Linked DNA regions of Oreochromis niloticus. The protein of the gene in region 2 interacts with the protein of the main gene of each other region in a pairwise test. Links are inferred from orthologs where the notes say so. Each region holds a gene or a part of one and is shown on either strand. Other genes may lie near its edges.

Evidence for each region.
Region 1: the proteins of tpp2 (region 2) and polb interact in binary tests that used the Homo sapiens proteins (3 or more experiments, as listed by UniProt). The two-hybrid records come from large-scale screens. The link is inferred for Oreochromis niloticus from reciprocal best matches to the Homo sapiens genes TPP2 and POLB.

Annotation. Positions count from the first base shown.
Region 1 is NC_031977.2:25,924,477-25,928,230, reverse strand, and holds the start of polb (DNA polymerase beta), read left to right. Parts: upstream 1-1,136; 5' UTR 1,137-1,309; coding exon 1,310-1,370; intron 1,371-1,691; coding exon 1,692-1,749; intron 1,750-2,779; coding exon 2,780-2,846; intron 2,847-3,229; coding exon 3,230-3,304; intron 3,305-3,426; coding exon 3,427-3,485; intron 3,486-3,613; coding exon 3,614-3,663; intron 3,664-3,754. Other genes in the region: enkd1 (enkurin domain-containing protein 1), read left to right, coding at 496-656.
Region 2 is NC_031965.2:16,547,158-16,550,911, reverse strand, and holds the start of tpp2 (tripeptidyl-peptidase 2), read right to left. Parts: upstream 2,186-3,754; 5' UTR 2,082-2,185; coding exon 1,917-2,081; intron 1,023-1,916; coding exon 894-1,022; intron 791-893; coding exon 695-790; intron 178-694; coding exon 73-177; intron 1-72. UniProt on the Homo sapiens protein: Cytosolic tripeptidyl-peptidase that releases N-terminal tripeptides from polypeptides and is a component of the proteolytic cascade acting downstream of the 26S proteasome in the ubiquitin-proteasome pathway.

The DNA.
Region 1 (3,754 bases), on a different chromosome or scaffold from region 2:
TGTAGATAACTGCCACGGGAATGCCCAACACTGAGATACTACACAGTGTTTTTAACTGGTAGATTAAGATTTAGCTGGTAGATTAGTCTTAAATCTAGTGATGGGATGTGCTGGCCCAGTCTTTGGACTGTGTGTTGAGAAATCCAGGAAGTCTTTTATGAAGCACGTATCAAGGCTTAGTTGTGGTTGGATCACCACCTTTAAGTTGAAGAGACAAATTATTTTTTTCTAGTAAAATTCTTTTCTTGGTTTGATTTTTCATCAGTTTGGCCAAACAATCTGGACTATAAATATGGCAAACTAATCCACTGCTGTAGGAAAAAAAGGGGGAAAAAAGACTGGGCTGTCAGTCTGTTGAAAAGCCTATTATTTCTTCCTCCAGTGCTCAGCCATCCGTCACAATAACAGCAGCTTAGTAAGTACAGTAAATAGTACAGAATGAACATCAGTAGTTGCCTCACTAATTATGTGTTTCTGACATTTTTTTTTCTTCAGCCCACCGCTCCCTGGTGACGGAGCTGCTCTCCCTGCCTCTCAAAGCTGACAATCTGAGTATTCGCTCACGCCGGGCCCAACTTGACTGTAGGCTTTCTGAAATTGAAGAAGCCATAAAAATTTTCTCCAGGGACAGAGTTTTTGTAAAAATAGATTCTTAACACACGAGGAAAAGGAGGGAAGGAAGTGGCTAAGTAAATGTATTGCTTTATTGAGATTAACTTTCATTTTTTAGTTGCATTAGATAACATTACGCTGTTTGTTGTGAAATTATTTTTAAAATGTGAATAAATCATTTTGTAAGCTTATTACAAAATACAAAAGAGCATCTTTAGGCATCATTTGCTGAGATGTGATTTCTTTGGTATGGATGTGCTAATGATTTATAATAAAGAACATTTTTGTGAAGTTACTGTGTACGTACTTACATAATTTTTGTAACTTGGAATGTTAAAACCTACCAAACAATGCACTACAGCTTTTTTTAGTTAATTTCATTGCATGAATAAATATAGAAATACACTAGAACTCAGTAATTTTCGATTGTTCCGATTCATTTTGTGTCATATTTATTTATTATTTATTATACTATAATTATACTAGTTGAAGCAGATGTGAATGTTGTGGCTAACGATGACGTTTTACGCACGCCCCGCCCCCTCTACGTTATCGTTCATTGTTTGGCGTGAGAGCTAGCCTAAGCTAACGTGCTAGTAGGAGGCTAGCTGGAAATAAAAAGAGCTTCAGGCTCTCGTGCCTACATAAACGCCCATATATCTCTCCAGTGTTTATTTGAGAGACTGTCAGATTCAAAATGAGCAAGAGGAAAGCGCCGCAGGAGTCCCTAAATGAGGGAATAACAGACTTTCTCGTCGGTACGTTAAGAGATTGTTGAACTCAGCTAACCGTTGCTAGCATGGAAGTTGGGTTCTGTTATTAAATATAAATACCAACCGTGCTGGTAAACTAACCCTGCACGAGTAGCGGGTATCAAAATATTCTAAATATAGAGTTGTAGTTGTTGCATCTAGTTATCTGGATTGCTTACACGTGTGATTTGGTTCGCTCGCTATCTGCCTTGTCATTTAAATGCCTTCTACCTTCAGCTGAGTTGGCAGAAGATTAAGTAGCAGGAATAAAGTAGCATGAGGGAAATGTGAAGTCTTGCCTTGTCCTAACACTGCCTCTGTTTCCAGAATTGGCCAACTACGAGAAAAATGTCAACAGAGCAATACACAAATACAATGCATACAGGTAAGCTCATAATTATGTGAAAACCTGTCCCAGTCACTGGTCTTCATAAAACAAGCGTTTCAAGTGTATTACGTCCACTCGGCCATAAATGATGGTGTTAGTACAACGCCCCCATATAAGTCTATTCTTATATGACTAAGTATAGACTCATGTTAAAAGAAACATTCTATTGAATTAGAATGTCTTTAAAACACTTTCAGTTAAGAGAAATAACTCTTTTTTTTGTTGCTTAAAAACTACATTATTAGAGTGAACCCCACATGATCGGATAAGCAGCACTTCACAGGAAGAACTCCCTTTTAACAGGGGGACCTCCAAAAAGACCTCCAGTAGAACTAGGTTCAGGGAGGACTGACTGTCTGTAGTGACCTGTTTACAACAACAGGAACTTGTAGGTAGTAAAAAAGGAATCATTACATCCATTAGTGCTATATAACACATAAAGTGATAAAAGAGGTTAACTGAATCATGGGAAGCCCCAGAGCAGCCTGAGCCTGCATCAGCGTGACTAAGAAGTGGCTCAAAACTGATACCTGATCCGGCCTTGTCGTTATCAAAAAGGAAGTTTTAAGTGGAGAGGATGACTGTCTCTTCAGGAAAAAACTGGAAGCTGATTCCACTGGAAAGGGGCTGATGGCTGAAATCTTTACAACTTTGTTACTTAGGATCCAGTAAGCCAAGTAAGCCTCCAGTCCGAGAGTGAAGGACTCTGCTGACGTAATAGGATGGAGCCCAGTCATTCATTTAAAATCAAAGGATTTTAAATTTGATTTTGTATTTAGCAGGGAGGCAATTGAGATAAGCTATAATAGGAGAAGTATGATCTAGTGTTCTAGTCCACCAGAAAAGCATAGAGTACAAGATAAACTTCCTGGATTTATGATTAGGTTTTTGCTGTATGCTGTATCATAGCATTGTCATGTTTACACTTACGATCTAAAAGAAATTAACCTAAAGAAAAAGTGGCCTAATTCAATTTTACATATGTTTTTTGCTATGACTTACACGGTCCCTTGTTTTCTGTGCTTAGGAAAGCAGCATCTACGATTTCTAAGTACCCTCACAAAATCAAAAGTGGAGAAGAGGCCAAGAAACTGGTATGTATGTGTATGTATGTATAAGTTGTCATAGGCAGACTGATAGATAAAAAATATAAATGAAAGAAATATCTTCTTTCTTAACAAAAGAATTGGCATATAGAACTGGAGATTTCTCTTTGCATGTTATCAAATCAGAGGTCATCTGTCATCCTCTCCATGTGCTTTAAAATGTGTGACTTTCACTGTCACAATGACATTGTTAAACCTGGCAGCGCCCCCATCATTATTTATCTGGCCTACCACTAATGTGCTCATGCTGCTGTTTATGTGATGGCCTCTGTTGTAGCCTGTTTGTCAACAGCTTCTCTGCACATCTTACATAATCACTGCAGATCACACTGCTGAGCAGCACCCTCATGATTGTTGTCACATTTCAATAGGATGGTGTTGGAGCTAAAATAGCAGAAAAGATTGATGAGTTTCTGCAAACTGGCAAACTTAGGAAACTGGAAAAGGTGAGTCTAAGAGATCACTTTACTGATGTCACACTGTAAAAATAATTTTTTAATAGTTATTTTTATGTCTATGTACTGAGTTATTACACAGACTGATGCGCTACATTTATATCTTCCAACAGATCCGAAACGATGACACTAGCTCTTCCATCAATTTCCTCACCAGAGTTACTGGAATTGGGTATGTTGTTTGGTTGTTCACTCTGCACGTATGATAAAAAATTATATGTTCATATTCAGAATTAGAATATAGCAAGTGTATTATTGACTTTCTGTTGTAATATTGTATGTGCTTTATTTTCACTTCAGACCTGCTGCTGCCAGGAAGTTTGTTGAAGAAGGGGTGAAGACTTTAGAAGGTTTGTGTAGCATTTGCCTCAAATTAAAATTGATACATATTTTGTATGGTTAGTATAATTTTTTTTAGCTCAGTGCCGTGAGCAGGCAGCC
Region 2 (3,754 bases):
TATAAATGTACATATTTTCTAACATAAACGTTGCCTTTTTCTCTCAAATGACCTCAAGGGAGCAGGTCTGACCTGTGAGGGGTTTGGATGAGCGAGGTCAAACTCTTCCGTCTTGCGGCAAACCTCAGCGAGTGCTGCTCTGTGTGGCGGGTCCCACATCTTCTCCTTTCGCTCTTTCTAGTAGTCAAAAACCACAAAAAAAAAAAACAATAACTCTCCAACACAACACACAGTCTAACATACAAGGCAGGAAATAATCTCAGCTGAAGAGCTGTCAACAGGGACACTCCAATTGTGTTTTTCCCCCATTCATTCACCATGTGAGTGTATTATATGAAAAAAAGCTATAAACTCGTTACAAAATTTTCCAAGTATGGATAATCAATTCAGAATAAAGGTCAAATCCTATCAGTTCACTGATTTCAGATAGATTTTCTATGAGAGGGAAGAGGACAATTCAGCAGGTTTTTTTTGTTTTATCGCCAAAGCTGATTGAAGTGTTGAAACATCAGGAAAAAAGGCCTGTCTGTGACTCAGGTGTCCAGAAGCTCCACTGCCATGAGTCTTTTGAACAGTTGCTATCATGTCCAAGCTTAATTGTCCACGTGTCAGGAGTACTGGGCTTTGTGCTCATCAAAAAAAAAAATCAACACTGTGTCAGACAAAGTGAAGTAATAATGTCACCTCTTCCTACCTGTACTCTTTCTTTCAGAGCCTTGGGGAAGAACTCGTAGCCATTTTTAACTCCAATGCGATACTTCCCTGATGGATTGACCCAAGCAGGAGGGACCTGGACGACATTAAAAAAATATGCAGTGTGAAACAGATGAACGAGAGCGCCTATAAAGGAATGTTTTTAATGTTTGTGTACATGGATATGTTTATATACTGACCTTGAGCGTTCTGCCAGAGAGGCCGGTGATTGTCCCATCTTTAGGCTCCGCCACGGTGGTCATGTTCACATCGCCACTGCCTGTCGTATCGATGATGTCAACAATCTTTGGCTTCCCCTCAGTTGTGACCTAAGAGAACAAAAAAAAAATATGAAAGAAATCAGCAATCCACTAGAATACAGACAGAAAAAGGTGCACATCATAACCAGTATCTTACATTGAATGGGGAGGGGGATATGGACAGCAAACTAAATGAATCGTCATCCATAAATCAGCTAAGTAACTCAGCCGGTCTTGAGTAAAATGATACCTGAAAAAGCTCAACGTGCTTTTTAACATGAGGATTTGTTTACTACCAGAGAAGCAGTCAGTTTCAGTCTCAGCCCCTCAAGCATGACTGAAGCAAGAGAACAGAAAATAAGCTCATGTATTGTGAAAGCTATCCAGCTAGACTTACACATGTGCACTGAAATAGGCAGGTTTAGAGTAACATGTAGTGTTTAACACTGTATTGGTCGGCTTATTTTTTTACGTTGTGACTTGGCAGTGAGGATAAAGTTTCACAGTTTACGGGCCACTTATCAAAACGCCAAATACGCTTAGTTTACTCTGCCTTACTACTATTAAGCTAGCTACAACATCCAGTCAGCATGTAAGTCTAATAATGTAAACACTGGAATAAAGGGGGTAAAAAAAAAAAAAAACACGAAAAGAATTCAGCAGCTAGCTTCCAGGCTGTCATGCTAGCACACATTTTAACTTACTGGCTAACTGTACGCCAGACTAGCACGGAAATACACTCTGACAGCAGGGGTAAACACACACTACTAGCTGCTTTGCCTTAATTTGGTTGTCATTGTGGCGTTAAAGTTAACTATTGGTGTATCCACAGATGCTAAGTATCTAGCTAGATGACTAGCCGCTGCCGTTGTATACCAATGAAGTGAATGAGTCGGCCCTTTAGCTTCGCTAGCTTCCGCCAACTAGGTCGTGGCTTAACACGAGGCAGCCGGTCAGATCTACCTGCATGCCGGGGGCCCCGGGATCCACGCCGGTGTCGAGGATGGCGATGAGCACCCCTCGGCCATCATACTCGGGGAACCGGGTGAGGTAAGAGGCAGCGCCGGTTTCTTTTTTGGGGAGCAGCCCGTGGAAGGGGAACGGCTCTTCGGTAGAATGAGCAGCCATGATCGGAAGAGCGACAATGAAAACAAAGCAGCGAAATGGGGAAGAGAGCAACAGTACGCGTGTGGGACTGACGGGGAGGAGAGCTAGTTAAAGGGGCAGTGCTTCCAGTAACCCCCAGGCCAACAAGCAGGCCTTTATCAGCCTGTTAACTTATCTGCTTTAGTCTGGACTGGGTTTTTTACTGTCATGTGAACTGTCTGCTGGCTGGAAACCAAGATGTGTAATTGAGCAGTGTATGACTGCATGAAAGCCAAGAGGTTTCACATCCTTGATAACATCCTTGCACACACACACAGAGGTGGCTGACTGATCAAACTCAGAGGTGTATCAGCATCTGCAGTGTGTGCAGAAAAGTTGATTTTGTCTTCCTCACGCTGTTATCATTTTTGTGTTTGTGAAACGTCATCTCTATGTCACCCTGAGCAAAGGTCTCATCGGCCACCTGTAGAGGTGAGCAGGACTTGTACGCTGTCACATGCATCTTGTAAATCCTGGGTCATTAGTGAACAGTGGCACTGGGTGGTGCTGTATTACCGCTGAATGTTTGCTGCAGTTACATATTTGTGCTCTGTAGGAACTCTGAAGGCATTCACTGCACAGTTTATCCTCTCAAACAGGTTTATTAAATCAAGTCTTAATGCATCAACATGCACCCTTAGGAGAGTAGCTGCTTGAACTAACCACAATCCGAGCGATTTTAATAATGCTTTAGTGCTTTGTGAACTGAAGGCAACAAAACCATCTGACAGCAATCTGTCATTTGTTGGCTATGGATGCAATGTATGCACATATACATTTTTACAATTTTAACTCTGCGTAGATAAGAGAAAATCCTGAATAAACAGCACCCGGTTGTTGTTTTTAAAGTCATTAAATTTGTGAAAGATGGATTAAGGGCTATTCATATTTTTGCACGTGTTCTTTATTAGTTTTTCTGTAATGTAACCCCGTTACTAGCCAACAACAAAATTGCTGCTCTCTATTTTTTTTCTCACACATGCAGTGCTGAGAATAAGGAAGAAATTAAAAGTTAAAAAATGAAAGTTTTATTTGTCTCCCTCTCACATACCAAATGACATACATTCAGATTTGATTCATCCTGTATTCATAGAGCTTTTATTTATCTTCTCTCTAATACCAGGATTAACCTTCCACGTCAATCGCCATCTGTACTGCTCAATATCATGTCTTTCTCGCTCAACTTATAGCACATCGATTCACATATCTAGACTGTAGGTTAATCTTTGTGGTTGTGCTATAAAAAAAGGGGGGGGGGGGGGGGGGGGGACAAACCACAAAAGGGAGGGTTAGTCTTTGTTATTTTAGGTGTGCCAACGCCCTCAGATGCTGTTCTTATGCCTGGTTTGCACGTAAAAAACTAACACTTAGCATCCTTTCACTAATCTGCCTTTAATCAGCATCTGTCTACTCTTCCTCTTTCTGTCAATGGCTCGTCGTTGTCACATATGAACACACCGAGTTAACCACACTCCTGCAGTCATATTTTGTTGTCACGAACACGATGCATATACTATATATATATATATATATATATATATATATATGTATATACTAGTTTTTTCCCCTTTTTTTCTGTTAATAAAATCGTTGGTTTGTATGATTCTCGGTTTTATACCTTTTGCAGAGACATACACTTACATGCACGCACTTGC